Linked DNA regions of Alligator mississippiensis. The protein of the gene in region 1 purifies or fractionates together with the protein of each later gene. This does not show direct contact. Links are inferred from orthologs where the notes say so. Each region holds a gene or a part of one and is shown on either strand. Other genes may lie near its edges.

What was found.
Region 2: the proteins of DACH1 (region 1) and JUN purify together in Homo sapiens (affinity purification with western blotting; 3 studies listed by BioGRID and IntAct, with this or other methods). This does not show direct contact. The link is inferred for Alligator mississippiensis from reciprocal best matches to the Homo sapiens genes DACH1 and JUN.

Annotation. Positions count from the first base shown.
Region 1 is NC_081824.1:390,805,079-390,815,665, forward strand, and holds the start of DACH1 (dachshund homolog 1), read left to right. Parts: upstream 1-6,309; 5' UTR 6,310-6,878; coding exon 6,879-7,609; intron 7,610-10,587. UniProt on the Homo sapiens protein: Transcription factor that is involved in regulation of organogenesis. Seems to be a regulator of SIX1, SIX6 and probably SIX5.
Region 2 is NC_081828.1:13,376,116-13,385,786, forward strand, and holds JUN (transcription factor Jun), read right to left. Parts: upstream 3,041-9,671; 5' UTR 3,040-3,040; coding exon 2,077-3,039; 3' UTR 2,049-2,076; downstream 1-2,048. UniProt on the Homo sapiens protein: Transcription factor that recognizes and binds to the AP-1 consensus motif 5'-TGA[GC]TCA-3'.

The DNA.
Region 1 (10,587 bases):
AAGGATCATAGAAAATGAGGGGTGGAAGAGACCTCAGGAAGTCATCTTCTCCAAATCCCTGCTCAAAGCAGGACCAGCCCCAACTACATCATCTCAGCCAAAGCTTTATCTAGTCCAGTCTTAAAAACCTCCAGGGATGGAGATTCAACCTCTCTAGGTAACTTGTTCCAGTGCTTTACTAGCCTCTTAGTGAGAGAGGGGTTTTTTTCCCCTAATATTCAGCCTAAACTTCCCTTGATGCGACTTCAGACCACTGATCCTTGTTCTGCCACCACTGAGAACAGTCCAGCTCCATCCTCTTTGAAGCCAGTCTTCAGGTACTTGAAGGCTGCTATCCAGTCCCCCCCCCCCCCCCCAAGTCTTCTCTTCTGCAGACTAAATAAGCCCAGATCCCTCAGCCGCTCCTCAGAAGTCCTGTGCCCCAGCTCACTAACCAGTTTTAGTGCCTTCAGCTGGACTGGTGTGTGGCAAGCTCTTAGCTCCAGTGTAAAGCCCGCTGGGGAGGTGGATGGTGGTTGGGGAGGATGTGGATGATGGTTGTGGGGGGAGGATGATGGTGAGGGAGGATGTGGATGCTGGGGGCGGGATGTGGATGATGGTCGCGGGGTGAATGGGGGATGTGGATGGCGGTGTGGTTGTGGATGGGGGGGGGATGTGTATGGAGGTGGTGGTAAGGGTGTGGATAGTGGAGGTGGGGTGGATGGTGCGGAGATTAGGGTGCAAGCGATCTCCTGCTTTCACCCACTGCGCGCTGGCGGGCACCTTTGCTGCCCCGCACAGAGCCCGCCCCACCGCGGACTGCCCGGACAGTAGGGACAGCCTGGCAGGGGTGGGAGAAGAGGTCGGCAGCAGAGCCCGGCTCCTAGAGTCGGGTGGAGCGGGGTTCACTCACTGGCCAGAGGGATGCTTAGACGTGGGGAAAGCCGAGTAAGCATCGGGCCAGCCCGTTCCTCTGACCCGGGGCGTCGCGGTGGAGGCTCCGAGGGCAGTGTGCCGGGCTGGGAGGGGGCAGGCTGCCCGGGGCACTCAGTGCTTGCAGGGCTTGCCCGCCCTACCTGTTGGTCGGGGACTGAACACCTGGGCTTGCAGGCAGGGGAGCGGCGGGGCCAGCGAGGAAGCGGGTTTCCTCCCGGCGCGGGAACCAGCTCCAGCTCCGCGATTTCCAGCCCCGCACTGGGAAGAGCACCTCTCCCACCCCCAGCTAGGGGCAGCGCGCGTGCTTTCTGCTTTTATTTTCAAGCGTTTGTAAATACAGCAGGGAAAGGAGCCTCCCCAGTCTGCAGACATTTGCAGGTGGGGGAGCGGGACCCCAGCCAGCCCTGCCCTTGGCCAGAGCATCGCTCAGCATCATCCCCGCAGACCCCGCTCGCCTTGCTCCTGGGGCTGAAGGGAAGACGCTGGAGATCCCCACTGGGGGCTCCGTCCTGCTCCTTTTACGCAGGCGATTAACACAGCGGGGAGGCGCGGGGAGATTACACTCGCGGGAGATGCGGTCCTTGTGGTCTCCAGCCAAACTGGAGGGGGGGAGCAGGGCGTGTTGGCAAACTATACAGCCCGGCATCAACCCATTTCCCATAAACTGCTGGATGCTATTTTGCACTCTCCAACTGAGAGAGTGATTTTTTTTTAAAAAAGAGCCCAGGAGACTATGTGCTTTACGCAAAACTTTTGCGGTGATTTTAAAGGACTTTTGAAGTTTTGGGGTTTGTTTTTTTTAGGGTTTTTCTTTTTTTCTTTTCTTTTCTTTTCTTTTTTTTTTTTTACACTGTAATGTACACACGGCGTAGTGGTTAAACGCTTAGCTCAGGTCCAATTCTCATGCCATGCAACAAGGATCCTGTCCCGGCGCTCCCACGTTTAACTGTGGACTGCTCACAAGTGGATGCTATTGTTGAAGTTGTTTGTGCCGGGTGTGCTAATGCACTGTTTGATTGAGTGAATTAGCAGTCATAACAATCTGGCAGTCTGGCCATAGAAGTGTGCTCAAATTGATTTGTGTTGTGGCTGGACTGGAAAATCTAGTGTGAGTTGGGGTTTTTGTAGTGTTTTTTGTTTTTTTGTTTGTTTGTTTGTTTTGCCCCGAGGCACTGTTTGTACCAAACTCCACTTTTCATTTAATTTTTTTCCCAATAGATGTCGAAAGCCTGAAAGGTTTGCCATCCCCGTTTGGCGCGCTTTCATTATTTTTATTATTTTCTTATTTTAAAAAAAAAGGTCCTAAAAGCAATTTCAGAGTCCCCCAAACCTTGCTTTCAATTAGAGGAAGCATGATTAGCGTGACGTCGTGCTCGGAATGGCAAATCTCCCTTTGTATCTATTAAGTATGTTATCTACTCGTCCTGTCATTGCAAGGAATCCAGGATGTATTTGTACTGGGGAAAGTCCATGCTAATTTGGCTATAATGCAACAATCACGAAAAATAAAACAACCCAGCACGGCAGTACCTATTTGCTTGTTATTGTAACCATCTCAAATGCACACATTATTATTTTCAATAAGTATTTCAATGTTTAGTAAATATCTTCGTGGGGGGGGGGGAGGGGAAGGACCCCATTATGGTGCATTTCTGTAACACTGCATGTCCCTCCACGGAGGGGACGTGTCCCTCTGTGCCTGCTCCCCGCGAAATAACAGGTAGCTGCTGAAACAAACTATGCGAGACCTGCAAGATGTAAAACCAAACTTGCCTTCCCTTTGTCGATAACCTCTTGCTTTTGCGGAGTCTTCTGCTCGGCAGTCGTTTGCCAGAATTATAATGCAGCATGATTAAACCTAAAAAATGACTATTGATCACCCAGAAAGCTTTGTGAAATCATTTAGTCAAGTTTCCCCACTTGAGAAATCGGTGAACAAAATAGGTCAATAGACTAGGATAAGACGAGCTGGAATAGAGAAGTGCATTTCTCAAGGAAATAAAAGTCAGAGCAAATGCAGATAGTTCATAAACTGGATGTTGCGATACACACCCAGCCATAAAAACCATCCTGTCCCACAGCCCCCACCCCTTTCATCCCAATCCGCTTTACACAGAGTCCGGGGAGAAAGTATTTTCTGTTCGCCCGGCTATATTTAAATATTTATATATCAATAACAACTAAGGCAGGAGGGAGGGGGACTGACCCCGTCAGTCAGGTATTTAAGAGGTAACAGCTACGATGCATTTTCTAACTCCTTTTTATGCCTTAGAATTGCCCTCAAAACTAGGCTTTAATAAAACAGTGAGCTCCGTAGCAGGTGGGGTTTTTTTTAAGTAATAAATAATCATAACCACCTATTCATCTTAGTGCCTTAGTATATTCCCTGAAATGGTCAAAGGGAAAAGAGGAGAATACCTGCCCTGAACAGTTATGTGAGTACAAGAGAAGCTCTGCTTCAAACAATATTCCAGGAAAGAAATTAAAGACTTCTTAATTAGTGCAGCAATTAAGCTTTCTTGGTCGCATTTTAATCAGCCCAGGCCCTATCAAAGGACAAACAGAATGATTTGCAGGTCTTTGAATTTTAAACAGGCTTATTGATTTCAGCATCATAAGTCTTCACTTGACACAGGGAGAATTTTCAAATATCAGTTACAGTAATTTGAGTTTTGCTGATATAAATTCTGGGAAAAATAAAGGAAGCGTGTAACAATATCATGACTTGAAAGGGCCAATGAGTAATAAAATGCACCGTGGAAGAAAAAAAGTTTGAAAAGAGGAAGAGAGCAATGTCCTTATTTGTTGAAGTGGAGGTATGTCTGTCTGTGAAAATACATCCAGGAGTTTGCTACAATTCTTAGAGTTTGTTACAATCCGACCAGACAAAAAGCTTTGAAGATCCTTGAACCTTTCAGACATCTCTTTCTTTCTCGGTGTCTAATCCCATTGTTTCCTGAAACCATCACCGTTAACCTAAACCTGTGGTAGTAAAACCTTTCAAACTACATTTTCTTCAAGCTGTTTGGCAACAGACGGATTACGGATCCATGAAAACACACAGAAGAAAACCAAAAGGACAGTCGTGGAGCATATTGTAGGGCAGAGAAACAACCCAGGATCTGGCAGGTTTGGGTTATTTTTGAAATCCCGAGTTCATTTGAAACTTGAAATGAATGGCAACTCCACACATGTTTGGTTCTGCATTCAATTTCTCAAGTGTATGTTTTATGAATATATGTCGTGTGCAGGACAGAGTGCAATGCAGAAGGACGAGCTGAAGCAGAGAAATAAAAGACAATAAATCTGGGCAGTAAGTCTTTTGCAAGTGAAAATGATAAAAAAAAAAAAGATACCTTTTTTTGCAATTGTCGAGGTATTTAAAGTTTTTCTCCCACCCTGTTTTATTTTCTGTTGATTTTGTCTTAGCTTTGCTATTTAAAAAGAACTGCTCCGTGCCAGTGTTAGAAGACAAGGTGCCAGCATTGATATGATAATCACTTGTTTTTCTTCTTTTTTTTTAGAAAAAGTTCTTTTGCTCATTTTAGTGCAATTGAGTTTTTGGAGGAAATGACAGATTCGCTAATGGGAGATATTGGTACTGAAAATTCAAAACATTTGATTGAAAACAATCTAACGTGTGAGGAAGCAGGTTGCAAGAGCAAGCGAATAGCTTGAGATAATCTGAAAAAAAGTGGAAATTTCCCATGTACAGAATTACTTTAATTAAGATTCTTATCACACATCTAGATGTGCAGCCCCATGAATCATGTCTCATATAAATAGTACACTCTTTCTAAAACAGGCTGAGGGACAAGTTGTTATAATTTGGAGAGTACATTCCGGATCTAAGCTTTATATGACGATCTAAGCTTTATATGCAGCTATATGAAGCTTAGATGCTTATATGCCCAGTCTAACGTTGCATTTCTATGAAAGGTTATTTTAAACACAGAAAGGTCATCAAAATAAACGGAGAGGGAACCCCCCTCCCCAACACTGCCAAACTTTCAATCAAAAAGGGAAATTTCCGAGCTCAAGCTAAACCTCCACCCTTAAACCTCATCGTGGTTAGGTATTAGGACATAAATGGGGCCTGGATATTCAAATGTGTGCCGGATTGCACAGCCTGTCAATTTAGTGACTGCGCATGTGTGAGCAAGCGCAAGAGCTAATTGTACACTGATACCTGGTTATTACACATCAAAGTTGGATCGGTGCTATAGAGTCACCTGTTGTTCACCGGCCGCTGCAATACCTAGACACAACAGGGTGGGAGTAAGCACTCAGCTGCAGCTCTCTAACATGGCAAGTTCCTTCAGCCTTGCTCTAATGAACGCAGCTGCCCCATTTTAGCCAAACATGCAGAGCTATATATATATATATATATATATATATATATATATATATATATATGGATGAGAAAACAAAAATCATGCGAGAATGGGAATGGTCTTTTATGCACTCGAAAGACACGCAAGCACAAAGTGAGAAAGACCCGTGATCAAAAAAGTTCCCGGAGACAAAAGGTGCGAGCGTGCCCTTGCCCTTGCCCCATCCCAGCTGGGCACCGGCCCGCTTTAGCCCCGCACGCCCCGCACGGTGCCCGGCGCGCTTTGCTCCGCCACTGCCCGGTCTCGCCAGGAAGTCCTCGGGAGTCGCTTGAGTTGGGCTTTTTCTTCTGGAGTGCTTGGCGCTCCAGGCAATTACAACTTGTCCGCACAAACAAAGAGATCTGGCGATAAAACGAGGCCGGCTCTTGCTGTTAACCGCCCAGCCCTGCCAATTTGGCATTGTTTGTTGCCTGGGGGGGCTCAAAATAAATAAATAAATAAATAATAGCTGATAAATAAATAAATAATAATAAATACAGAAATGCGCGCAAAACTAACTCAACCAAAGAAAAATAGATAAATGCACAGATAACTCACTACCTAAATCAAAGAAAAATAAATACATGCACACGTAACTAACTAACTATCTCAAAGAAAAAGAAAGACATGCACGCACAACTAACTAAATCAGACCAACACACGATCTGAGCTTTGTTTGCAAGTGGATCTGCTCCTCTCCCACCCGGTGGGAGATGGGTGACCAAGCAAAGTTTCCTCTGCGCCCCCGCCACCTTTCATGCCCTGAAAGAGACGCAGTTTAATCTCTCTCTATCTCTCTCTTTTTTTAAAGAAAGGCTTGAAATGTTCTTTATATACATTTTTTTTTTAATGGTGTTGACAAGCGATTGTTTGGAAGGGCTTGGAAAATTGCATCTCGTCTCTGATGAGATGAAATATGAAACATGTAATCTAACGGTTTATGAAGAGGAGGAGGAAGAGGGCTCTCTCTCTCTCTCTCTCTCTCTGATTCTTTGCTCCGGGTTGCTGGTTGGATAATTTGGGTTAATACTAGTGAGTGAGGCTTTTGCTGCTTCAAAGGGTATTTCAAGTTGCCGGAGCTCCTCCCCTCTGCACCGTGTGACAACAACAACTCGTCCAGAGAGCGAGCGAGCGAGCAGCGAGCGGCAGCAGCAAGCCAGCACTTTTTTTTTCCCCAGCTCATTTTCTCTCTGTCATTTCCCCCTCTCAATCTTTGATCAATGTGCTCGCCAGAGAGAACCGAAGTCCTTCCAGCCTCCTCCTTCCCACCTTCCTCTTTCACGCGGTGCTAGAGCCAAAAGGACCACAAAAACAAACTGCCCTCCCCACCTCCCTCTCTTCTCCCCTGCACCCCAGCCCCGGGAGCGGACTTCTCCTCCTCGCTGGCGGGACACTTTGTGCGCCTCTTCCCCTCTCTCTCGCTGCCCTCTGCTCTCCGGGCTTGGGGGTCCCTCTCCCCCCCCAGCCCTTCTCCCTCCCCGCCCCCCCCCCCCACCCCTTCCCTTCTCTCTCTTTCTTGCTTTCTTTCTCTCGTGTGTGTGGCAACTTTGTGCTCCCCCCCCGCCCTACCCCGGCTCCGTATATGTGACCATGGCCGTCCCGGCTGCCTTGATCCCGCCGACCCAGCTGGTCCCCCCGCAGCCTCCGATCTCCACTTCTGCCGCCTGCACCACCACCACCACCACGTCGTCGGCCACCTCGTCGCCGTCTCCGTCCGTGGCTCCCCCGCCAGCCGCGTCGGGGACCAGCGTGTTCCGGCCGGAGCCCCTCGGAGCCGCGGCGGCCGCGGGCACCTCCAGCACCGCCGCCGCCAGCGCGGGCAGCGGAGGAGGCGGCGGCGGCAGCGGCAGCGGCAGCACCGGCGGCGGCGGAGGCGGCGGCGGCAGCAGCAGCTGCAGCCCCAGCGCGGGCACCGCCGGCGGCCCCGGCCCCGCCGCCCCCAGCGCCAGCGCGCCCAGCGCCGGGGGCAGCCTGCCCGGCAAGCCCGTGTACTCCACCCCGTCCCCGGTGGAGAACACCCCCCAGAATAATGAGTGCAAGATGGTGGATCTGAGGGGGGCCAAGGTGGCCTCCTTCACCGTGGAGGGCTGCGAGCTCATCTGCCTGCCCCAGGCTTTCGACCTCTTCCTCAAGCACTTGGTCGGGGGCTTGCACACGGTCTACACCAAGCTGAAGCGGCTGGAGATCACGCCCGTGGTGTGCAACGTGGAGCAGGTCCGCATCCTGCGGGGGCTGGGGGCCATCCAGCCCGGCGTCAACCGCTGCAAACTCATCTCCAGGAAGGATTTCGAGACCCTCTACAACGACTGCACCAACGCGAGGTAAAAGGCGAGGCGCGCGCGCGCACACGCACCCGCACCCTTGCACACCCGCACCCCTGCACACGCGCACCCATGCATATGCATACCCATGCACACTCACACACTATGCACGCTCACAGCCATGTACACCCGCACCTATACACATGCACACACATGCACACATGCACACGCACACACGGAGCCACGCTGAGCCCCCCCCATCCCGGCTCCATCCCAGCCTCGCACATGCAGCCCGGGCCATCGCCGCGCCTCTTCCCGGTGTCACTGAGCAAGTGGAGCCTGTGTGTCCCCTCCCCGCCCTGGGCGGCGTGCGCTCGCCCCCTCCCCGCCTCCAGAGCCGGGCAGACAGCGGGCGAGGCGGGGTGGGGACTCCCATGCGGGCAGCGGGAAGCTTCCCCCCCGCCCCCACTGCCACCCTACTGCCACTGAGCTGCCCCGTGTCTACACGTGGGACTCCCCCCCCCCCCCACACACACTGCCTCTGTGTGCTCAGGGGGTCACACACTGTTTGGAGTGGGGAGCAGTATGGAGTGGGGGGACAACCAGGAGGTGATGGAGGGGCAGGATTTGTGGGCACTGGGGAGAGAGCAGAGCAGGGCACCCTCCCCCTCCCCCCCCCCCCCAACAACTGAGAGAGCCAGACAAAGGCAGCCGGCCTAAAATTGGCACAGTTAGCCATGCTGGGGGCAGGGGGGGGGGGGGACCTGATAAAAGAGGAAATTCCTGTTGAAATACCAGAGGCAGACAAGGTTCTTTGAGAAGATACGATATCTTTGATTAGACCAGCTCGAGTTGGAAAAATTGCTCTTTGCAAGCTTTCGGGCACAACCACCCTTCTTCAAGCATAGCTTGCTTCAAAAGTGCAGCGTGAAGTGGGGAGGGTTAGGGCTATTATCCCCAAATCGGTCAGTGCCCGGGTTGCATCTGTCTGGCCAAGGGAAGGGGGACATCAGGTGCCCCCTATAAATTGCAGAGGGGTCCCCAGTGTCTTCACTTCAGCCAGGTCCTTGGGTGGTGGTAGTGGAGGTGGAGGGGGGTTCTGGCTTTAAGCAGCTTTAAATACACTGTCACCTGCTTACAGTGCTCCTCTGCTGTCTACATTGGGCAGGCAGGGAGATCTATATGAAAGAATGACCAGTCTGACATTAACCCAGAAAGACACCAAGACTCCAGGCCTTGGTGGGAAACTTTCTACAGTGGCTCAGCTTGACCAATAAAGAGACTTTAGTCTGTGCCAAGAATTTTTTTTTCTGTAACAGCAAATCATCTCTTCCACCTAATCACTTGGGTTGATTTCACTTTCTATTATTATTACTACTATTACTGTATTATTACTATTATTATTATGACGGCTGCTTAAAGTGCAGCAAGAGCAGCACGTGGAGAATTGTTCATTTTGTTGTGCAGTGTCTGGGTGTGACTCTCTGAATTAGCTGGGGGGAGTTGGATTCATTAGCCCAGGTCAAGGCAAAGGAAAACACTTTCTCCATGGTCTTTAGTTGTAGATTGATTATTGAAGCATCTGAATATTTAGGGGGACAAGAAGGCAACTTGCTCTAGAGGAACTTAAGTAACTACTTTGGAAACCTTTTGGGAGCTAGAGAGATCTTGGTTGGTGGTGGAATCAAGAAGAGTTTGAAAAATGAGTAACATACTGCTGGGATTACATTTGTATGGGTGCATATATATACTAAAGAATACACAGCATTAAAAAACAGGATAGCCTAGCTCTGAGGGGAAACCTGTGTACATTTGTTAGGTTGTAACATGATTTGGGAACATGATTAAAACCAGGGTCACAGCACACCAGCACTGCAAAACTGACTGTGCTTCAACAGCCTCAGGAGATAGTTGTGCTGTAATCTGACATGGTAGAAATTACAGTGTGTGTGTGTGTGTGTGTGTGTGTGTATGTGTACACACACACACACACACACACACACACACACACACACACACGGCAAGCAGGATATGACCCCCAGGAAAATAATGGGAAGAGTTTATGGTATCTATGCACCCCGTATTTTTACATTATATATGAGTGAAGCAGAGTAGTTCGGTGAGTTTTGGTAACGTGGATTTCACCATTAGTACATACAACTCTATTTACTTTCTAATCTTTTTTCTTGTGTATGACTTACTCTGGCTTGGTTTTAACTACTTGTAACTTTAATGCAATTTTGTAAAAATTTTGAAATAATGGATCTAGTAATTTAAATTTCCTTTTATAAGACAACAGTTACTCTGTTCTTTATCTGATATTTTACTTATTATTGTGATTGAAAATATAAGAACAAACTCCATTCCAGTATATAAAATATTACATCCACACCATCTAAAATATCTTATCACCGCTATATTTGTATCACAGTCATTTGACACACTTGAGTACCACTCTGATCCTTTTTTTTAGATGATGCTTACAACTTAGTCAAGGTTAATACATTATTCAATCAGATGTGGATTTCAACAAAGCTATTCATTTGTCTTGTGTAAAATCTCATTTGATTAATCTAAACGCTTTTGTTAGGCATCTGTTGTGATGACAAATACTTATAACAACATATTTAAATGAACTTGACTTTTTAAATTTTGCACCTATCTGGTTGAAAAGATATTTCATATTTACAAGCTTTTACCTTAAGTCTTAAACTGAAGCCTCAAGATTTGAAAAGTTTTTCAAGTGCCTGTTTTCAGCAATATGGTTAATTTTAAGTGCAATATTGCTATACTTAAAAATCAATAAAACAAATCAATAAAACATCAGGGAATTTTCTCTTGAATACTTAACTTACAAGTCAGTTTGCAAAGTGAATTGGTTTCTGTTTTTATCTGTGATCCTAATAATAATAAGAACAATAGTATTCAAAGAACCTTTTTCTAAATAGGGTCCCTAAATCACTGGCAAATAGTTTTCCGGTGTGGAAGGCAATTCTTTTTTCCCATTCATCCTGACCTTTGCTTATGTCTTCTCCACA
Region 2 (9,671 bases), on another chromosome or scaffold:
AGCAAATAAAACCTAAACATAGTAATCCCAACTCCAGCACATATATTATTAGGGAAGAAACGTTACTATAACTCAAAAGTTAAAACAATCTACTCTATGAAATGATTCATATCCCACAATTTATATCATGGGCCAAAAGGATCACTCATCAAAGGGGACTAACTACTACTGTATACTACTATAAAGGAACTACTATCCTGAGAGAAAGCAGTTACAAAAAGTTTCTGGGTATCCAAGTTTTGTTACCAGTTAACATGTGTGTTTATTATGAATGATTTTAACTGACATTTTGTGAAGTACTGTGTTTTCTTACAAGTATTATAACTTTAAAAAGAGGAGACTTTTAAGACTGACTAAACAGAATTATAAAGTAATGTATTAATGATTTTTTATTCTGCCTCTCCCCCCACAGCATCTGTTACCTCTTAGCTATATGGCTCCAACCCCCTCCAAATAATTTTAGCAATACAATCTGTTTTATATAAATGTAATTGGACACAGAATCAGTATGTTGAAAATAGTGACTGATAAATATTACTATTTTCCACAAGCATGCGTGGTTTTTTTCTTCAGAACTATTAAGTACCTTGTTTCTCAGTTGTTGCTTATGGTCTTAGTCTATAAATTATTGTACATGCACACTGACAATGACAGGGAAGCTGTTGTCATAATAATGTCTTTTTTGAAAAAGAAGAATCCTCCCTAGATGCTTTGCTTTTTATTTACACCCTGATTTTCAGTGTAGAAATAAAAGGTTTCCTCACTGTTAGCTTTACCCACTTTTCATATGGATAAATAAGTATACAATCAAAAACATCTGAAAGGGAAAGGAAGTAGAGATAGGGAAAGGGTTATAGAATGATTTTATTGTGACAACAGCATTGTCATAAATACTTATGAACAGAGATCACCTTTTATCTAGGAATAGTTAGACAAAAAAAAAAATGAGGTGATGAGTTCCATGTGAAGGATACATTTTTTTTAAATCTCCTATTTTAAATATGTTGTTGAGGACACTAGTTTACTAAGAAGCATCTAACATTAAATAGCCAGTTACAGTTCACACTATTTCAGCACAGGACAGTTCGATACAACAGCAGATTCCTCCAACCTGCTTAATTTTTTTAAGTGTACTGTCCAAACTGCTACTGGATTATGGTAGCCAATCCAGACCACATAAAGGCAATAAATAAAGATGCAAAAACCACATCTGTTTACACTACAGCATTGGTTTTGTATCCCCACTTTGACACATTCCTCAGATGTCTGTTGTTATAGAGTAAGTTTAACATCAGTCTTACCCACTTAGAGTTTGGGATACAGGATACTAGTCCTGATCTAGGTACTGGGGAAGGGGAGAAGGGAGGGGAAATGCATTTTTAAAAACAAGTTCTTAAAATATAAACAGAACTTTTCTGGGATTCTTTTCCAGAAGCAAAAAGCATAAAAGAAAATTATACTTTTATTACAAACTGCAAACTCAGGGTGCTTGGGGAGGAAACACTGTCTTATTTACAAAACAGTACCAGGCAGACCCCAAATAAACAACATAAAAATAACTTACAAAGTCATGAAGTAGTTTATTGACATTAATCAGCTTTCATAAAATAATAATAATAAAAAAAAGATATGTACATACACAAATTTAAGTGAAGGCAGGCAGTATAGTTCATTTTTTTTTTTCCTTATGAGCCTCCCACAAGCCTCCCTCCCACTTTTTTTTTTTTTCCTTTAAAGAGAGTACTACAGAAAGCAAACTACAGTCTCTATTGCAGTTTAACCTTTAATACTGAATGATCATCGAATGTTAGGTCCATGCAGGTCTTGGTCAGTGTTAAAACAAGAGATCTGAAGTCTCCTCGGAGCAGGCACAGCACTTCTCAGAGCGGTGCTGCTGGCTGCTTCACCCACTCGCTCGGACTGAAGGCTTGCCAGTCTTTCCACACATGCGCTTGGCGGGGCGCAGGCAGGACTCAATGCCTTTCAGCTTTTACCATTAGCTTTACGTGTCTGCCACTTCTGGGGGGTTTGTTTGCTCTACCACAACCTCATTAGTTCTGACTCGAGTCAATCTCTTCAAAACGTTTGCAACTGTTGTGTGAGCATGAGCTGGCACCCACTGTTGACATGGTTCATGACCTTCTGCTTAAGCTGTGCAACCTGTTCTCTGAGCATGTTGGCAGTGGATGCCAGTTCTGAGTTCTGGGCTTTCAAAGTTTTCACTTTTTCTTCCAATCTGGCAATCCTTTCCAGCTTCCTTTTCCGGCACTTGGAGGCGGCGATTCGATTTCTCATGCGCTTCCTTTCAGCCTTGATCCTCTCCTGAGACTCCATGTCAATGGGGGACAGCGGAGGAGTCTCCCCCGGCATTTCAGGGACAGTCTGAGGCTCTTCTTTCAACGCCTGGAGCCTGGGATGCTGCACCGGCATCTGGGGGTTCATGTGATGCTGTGGTGGCGGCGGTGGTGGCGGCGGGTAGCCCATGCTGCCCGGCGTGTAGCCGGGGGCCGAGGTGAGGGCGTTGGGGTTGAAGTTGCTGAGGTTGGCGTACACCGGCGGCTCGCTGTGCAAACTGGCATTGAACCCGCTGTTGCCGGCCATGGAGGAGACAGGTGCCATGCCGCCGCCGCCAGGTTGGGCGGCCGAGGTGACGCTGGGCACCGTGTTCTGGTTGTGCAGCTCGGCCAGCGCCCGCACGAAGCCCTCGGCGAAGCCCTCCTGCTCGTCCGTCACGTTTTTGGGGCAGAGGAACTGGGTGGGGGTCGGCGTGGTGGTGATGAGCCCGTTGCTGGACTGGATGATGAGGCGCTCCAGCTCGGGCGAGGCCAGCTTGAGCAGCCCCACGTCGGGCGAGGTGAGCAGGTCGGCGCTCTTGTTCCTCAGGTGCGGCTTCAGGGCGCTGGCGGGGTCGGCCAGGTTCAGGGTCATGCTCTGCTTCAGCGCCTTGGGGTTGTTGTATCCGTAGCCACCGCTCTCGGGCGGCGCGAAGGCGGCGTTCAGGGCATCCTCGTAGAAGGTAGGCTCCATCTTTGCAGTCATAGAACAGGGGGCCAAGGGCGGGCGGGCCGGCACCGGGCAGCCGGGGGGCGCGGGCCGGCCCTGGCCTCTCCCCTGCGGGCAGGAGCCCGAGTCCCGCTGCGCTGCGCTGCGCTGCGCCGCCGCCGCCTCCTCCTCCTCCGGCTGCTGCTCGCGTGTGTCCCGAGACGCCGCAGGCCGAGCCGAGCCGAGCCGGGCGCAGGGGGCAGCGCTGGCGGCCGCGCGTCTGAGCCCTTTCGCCGCGTGCAGCCCGACACTTATCAGCGACCAGTAACCCCCTAAAAATAGCCCATGATGTCACCCCGCGGCCTCCCCATTGGCTGCGGCCGCCGGGGGAGGGGGCGGGGCGGGCCGGTTGCCTACGAGCCCGTCTCCATGGCCACCCCGCCCCTCGAAGCTTCTCCTCCCGCGCGCGGGGCAAGCCGGGATGAGGTAATGCGGACCAGGTCGGCGCGGCGCATTGTGGGCTGACGTATTGTTTTCGAATCTCCGGTTGCCCGCTGAAGAGGCGCCCGAAGGGGGCGGGGCTTCCTTCGGAGGTAGATACCAAGCGGGGCGGAGGGGAGGGGGGGCACGGGGGTGACGCGGGGGATGATGGACTCTTCCCTACTCCCCCCCCCGCCTGGATGTATGGGACGGGCCGGGGGTTCCCGCGGAGGGGGTGGGGAGCGCGGTTGTCACGTGATTTCCCCCCTCCCCCCTGCTGCCGGGCAGGGTCGGGGGCGCCGCGGGAACAGTGCGGGAGGGGGCTGTCTGCTATCCCCGTGCACCCTCGTGTGCAACACCCTGGCACTGCTTCCCGTGCACCCCGTGTGCAACACCCCCGCACTGCTTCCCGTGCACCCCTTGTGCAACATCCCCCTGCACTGCTCTCTGTGCACCCAAGTGTGCAACACCCCCGTACATTACTTCCTGTGATCCCTTTGTGTAACACCCCCCGCATTGCTCCCTGTGCACCCCTGTGTGTAACACCCCTGTGCATGACACCCCCACATGCTGCTCCCTGTGCACCCCCATGTGTAACACCCCCCTGCACCATTCCCCATGCACCCCTGTGTGTAACCCCCTGTGCAGCCCTGTGCGTAACACCCCCTGCACCACTCCCTGTGCACACCCATGCGCAACACCCCGCATACAGCTCCCCGTGCACCCCCGTGTGTAACACCCCTGTACTGCTCCCTGTGCACCTACTGTGTGTAACACCCCCCGCACCACTCCCTGTGCACCCCCACGTGCAACACCCCCCCCACACCACTCCCTATGCCCCCCCCCCGGCACCGCTCCCCCATGTGTAACACACCCCGCTCTTGGCTCGCTGTCGCACTCCCTCAGCGCCCTCCCGCATTTAGGCTTGAAAGTACAGTTCAGGGCCTCGCCACGCCAGGGGTGGCTAAATCGGAATAAAAAGCAAAAAAAAACCCCTGGATTTTTTCTGTTGGCAAATGACAAAAATACACGCGCCCATGGCTCCACGTGGTTTTATTCATCTATGGATGCGTTCCTCGTGTATTCAAATGTTTTGAGTTTGTAAATTGGGGCGGAAATAAGGAAAATCCAGTTTTTTGTGGATTGTTTTTGTCTGACGGGGCCTGCTAACAGGGACGGTTATAATCGTGTCATGATCCCGCGTGGCCTTGGGCGGGGTGACGTCAAGAACCAGCCCCTGGCGGCGTTCGGGGTCAAGAACCAGCCCCTGGCGGCGTGCGGGGAAGGGGACGCGGGTCGGTCCCATGTGCGGCTCTCCTCCGCTGCCACCTTTCGGTGCCGCTCTCTGGCCATCGTAGAGGACAGTCCAGTTGTCCTCTATTGATATGAAACCGGACGCCTTTATGTCCTCTGTTTTTTCTCCAAGAAAAACATCAGATGAGAACAAGAGAGGACATAAAGGCATCGGGTCTTCTCAAAGAGAAAAAGAGAGGACATTAAGGCGTCGGGTTTCGGACCGATAGAGGACAGTGTAGCAGAAAAGCGGACTGTCCTCTATGATGGCCACCCTCGCCCCCGCATGGGCCTGTTGGACGCATGACGGGATGGCGGGTCTTGCTCTGGCAGAGCGACGGGGAAGTGCTCCAAGGGGGGTGCTGAGCAGAGCACACCAGACAGCATCGGCTGGCCCTCGAGCCACTGTGACAGGATGCTGGACTGGACGGACCTAAGGTCTGACCCAATAAATAGCAGTTATGTTGAGCCTTTAAAGGTTCTGGCAGTGCCCCCACAGCCAGGGCTGGATGAACCCTTTTGTAAGCCCGAGGCAAACAAGCTCATGGACCCCGGGGCTGGTCAAGACCCCTCTCCCCACCCTGGTGCTGCTGCCTGCGGGGAGCAGGGCTCAGAGCGGCCTCTAGGAAGCAGCTGCCGCAGTGGCGAGGCTGGCGGAGGGAAGGGGAAGTGAAGGGAAGGGAGGCGGACAGGGCCCTAGGGATGTGCCTAGTTTGCTTATGCATGAATCCAGCCCTGCCCAAAGCTTATAGGTGGCGGAAGGCTGGGGCTTAGCCCCCCCAAACTAATTTTGCAGCAGCCAGCGACAGCACCAGCACCACGGCACTGCTGTCCCACAGCACCCGGCGCTGCTCCTCCAGCACCGCGTACAGCACCAGCACACACCGGGTCTGCAATAAACCTGCAGGGGCGTGGGTCAGCCCCCCCACAATAATATTTATTCAGCTCCCCACAATAATATTTTTCCTGCCACCAGCACCACAGCCTGGTTGAAATCTCTGGTTTAAAAGCAGCAGATTCACTAAGTTGAGTCCAATACTCTTGATGCTGTGTTGCAACTGCATTGGTTCGGTATAAAGAAAATGCGCAGTCCTTCAAAGCAGCTTACGGGGCGAAGTTTCAGGCTCACTCTTGTACCTGTGAGCTGCCCTGTGGAGGTGAGATGTGTATGATGTAGGCATCATGTTGTGGTATGTTAAGGAAGGTATTATGGACTGGATAGTGATGTGTTTGAATATATTCTGATGTCCAACATTGGATCAGACTTTCAGGAATGCACGATTTAAGCAGGAAAACAGAGCCCAGTGTCATGGTGGAAGCTACTAAGCCACAGAGGTTGGAGGCAAGCCTTTTCGGTGAGCATGTCACAAATTAGCCCTCAACAGCCCCAGGTGCCACTCCTCTGCCTCATCTCATCTGCTGTTCTGCTTTCTCCTTCCTGACCTATCTGCTGCTGTGGTACCTGCCCCCTCTCACACCCACAGGTGACCCGTGTCATTTGTTGCGTGCACATGTTGGTCAACAGGAAAAGGAAAAGACAAAGGAAAAGAGCTAGGAAAGGTGGGAGAGTCACAGCAAGGAGCCTGGTATACCAGTCACCTGGCTCCAGTATATCTGAGAATGGGCTGAAGGAAAACAAGGATGGTAGAAGAAGGTTTTGTGTTTTGCAAACAGTCAGAGAGGCTTATATACAAGTCAGGGGCTAGATCTGATCAATTTCTGGAGCTCAGAAGAAGATGTAATGAGAAATCTAAGGGGATTAAACAGGGGTCCTTGGGAGTGTGAGTTAGTCTGTTGACTGGGACAGCAAGGAAGTCCTTCTCTAGCCTGGTTGTAAGTACAGGCAGTCCTCAGACTTACAATACAATTGGTTCCTGAAAACCGCGTCTTAAGTCGTAACGTCGTAACTCAGAACCGATTTTCTCATAAGAAACAATGTTATAAATGGGGGATTGGTTCCTGAACCAAGGCCCGATACCCTATTTTCACCAAAAATACCCCAGAATTTTATACTCGATCAATTATAGTTGAGTAATATAGCTACATTAATGTATTTATAACGTAAATAGCAATCACATTGATTTGGAAGGACTTCTTTGAGGTGACTTTGCTGGACATTTTGAAGGGCTCTTGGTTGGACTGTTTGAAGGGTTCTTGGCTGGAGTCTTCTTAGCAGTCCTGGCTGCAGGTTTTTCTGGAGTCTTGTCTGTTTTCTTAAAGAAAGTGTCCAAGGAAGTTTGGACAGACGTTCTCCAGGGAGATGAGCGACGCAGCAAACTTGTTCGCTGGTGTGGCGTCACATCAGTTCAAGCATTGTAAAGCCGAAACTGACATCAGAAAGTTGAAACAGGGTGTCAATTTATAAACGTTGTAAATGCAAAACGTTGTAACTCGAAACGTTGGAAGTCGAGGACTGCCTGTATTCAGATCGAGTGCTTGTAGCTGTAATTACTGTGTGAGTGAAGTCATTAATAACTGCTGCAACACTGCCATCTAATATACAGTTAGTTAGAAGGTTTGTCTAAAGTAACTGTATGACAGTTCTTGTGTTTGGGTTTGATAAAGGGATTTTAGCTCAATTACTGACATGGTCAATCAGATTCCAGCAGTTTGGTGTAATCGGGAGGATACCAGTCAGTAATCCTGAAAGCCTGTAGATGGAAGGATCATCATCTGTCTTTCTTAGGCAGCAAATAGTTCCTCTCCAGTAAACACAACAACTTACAGGACAACAGGGGTGGTACTGCACAGCAAAGAAATACTGGATGCTACTGGGAAAATGTTGGCATGTGATGGGTAATGCTTGAGAAATTTGAATGGGAACAATCCATGCAAAACTGGAGGAAACTTAGAGTTGCCATTCTGAGTAACCCCAAGTAGGAAAAGGCAGAAGTAAAAGCAATCATCCTTCAGGGCCTGCGTTTGGTACGTGGAGTGTACTACTACCCCAGGAGATGACTGTAAGAAGTATGAGAAATAACGTAAAGCTAATGAGGGAAAGATCAGCTTGAAGTTACACCTCCCTCCATGAGAGGATAGCGGAGTTGACATTTCTTGCATCTCGTGTAGGATTAGAAATTAGTGCCTGGGAAAAGAAGAAACTGAAGTTCAAGTTAAGGCTGAAGTGAGTAAGGTGAAGCATTGCAAAGTTGCCTTCGGTAAGCAGATCTGTGAGTTAAAGGAAAAGGTTAAATGTAACAGAAGGCAAGTTTTGAATTGAGGCAGTTGTGTTGCAACTTTTGTAATTTACAGAAAAGAGAAATGGCAAGGGAAAGTGAAATGATGTTTAAAGTGCAGTAGTGTTTTTCCCAAGCACGTTGGTAGAGGTAAAAGCTAAAGGTGTTTTAGAACAAACACAGTCAGGAAGAAAGTGCAGGGAACCAAAAGGGCAAAAAACAATGTGACAATGTGTACTGACTAAAAACAAAAATCAAGCGGATTGCTTTTCTTGAACTTACAGGAATCAAACGAATTAATAGAGTTAATAAAGCTGTGGATGTAAAACATGAAGATATGATTACTCTGAGTTATGTATTTTTTTGGTGACATTTTTGGAGATGCATGCATTAACTGCTTTTTCTCTTCTTGCAACAGTAAGATAAGTTTATGTAAAAAGCAAGACACCAGGGTTTTATAAGCTATTTTCTTTTGACCATGGTAGATCTGGTGGTTTTAATTTTGTTTCCATAATTTTCATCCTTTTGCTAACCCTGAAGCCTCACTTTGCTTTTCAGATTCCAGAAACAAGGTTGCATTCTAGCAAAGTGTAATTTAACAGTTCTTAGCCCTGGCTATGAAAAAGAAACGTCTTTTCTGTTACAGTTTAGATGTTTTTGTCCTAGTTCAGTGGTTATCAACTTTTTCTTTACAAATTGCAAAAAATTAAATTTACTGCAGTTGACAATGAGAGCTACTTGGCATGACTTAAAACGTTAAAATAACCTGTTAGCATTTTTAGCATTATTATGCGTGTGAAAATAAATGTATGTTGCAGCAAACAACACACACATGCAATATACATGTTACACAATGCAGTATGTTTAAAGGAAAGCACACTCAAAAGCCATGTTGTCAACCATTATATTTTTATCTGCCAAAAAATCATGACAATTATTTTAAGCCCTTTTGTAAAAAAAAAGAAACAGTAAAAAATGCTTGAGTCTTTCCATTTTAAGTTAAACTAGGACAGCGATTCTCAACCAAGTTGCCCAGGCACCTTGGGGTTCTGTGGGATCCTTTTATGGGTGCCATGGGGTGCTGTGCAATAGTAGCCCTGTTAAGATGTGCAAACATCTAAATGCGATTCACCAGATTAAACCCAGAGATTTTAAGTAAGATTCCACAGTGTCAAAGGCATTTTGATCTGTTGTGGTCTTTCTGAATTCTTGCAACAGAAAATATTCTCTTTTGTTTTCTGTAATCAAGAAATGAATGAAAGCAAAATGCTGGCATTTGTCAACGGCTGCTTTGAGTGTAAAAAGGTTGAGAACCTAAGAAATATCAACATCAATGTCAACATGCAGCAACGACATTACTTACCACGTCTTGACTAATCAGAAGATCCACCGCCATTATTAAAATTGAGGCATGTACTCCTTGGCTGCGTATCCATGGTGGGTACATGTACCTCTGTTTGAAAACCACTGCCTTAGACAAAGGAAGAAGCTACTAAAGATGATAGACAATAGCAAAAAAGATTGGCATGTCACAGTCACCTGGCTCCACTATACCTAAAAAGGTACTAAAGGAAAACAAGGACCGCAGAAGAAAGTTTTGTGTTTTGGGAACACGTGTATGGATGTTGGGGTCTAGATCTAATTTGTTTCTGGAACTCAGAAGAAGATGTAATGACTAACCTAAGGGGATAATACATAGCCAGAGAGAGGGTTTGGTTTCTTGTTAACATAAGCGAATCA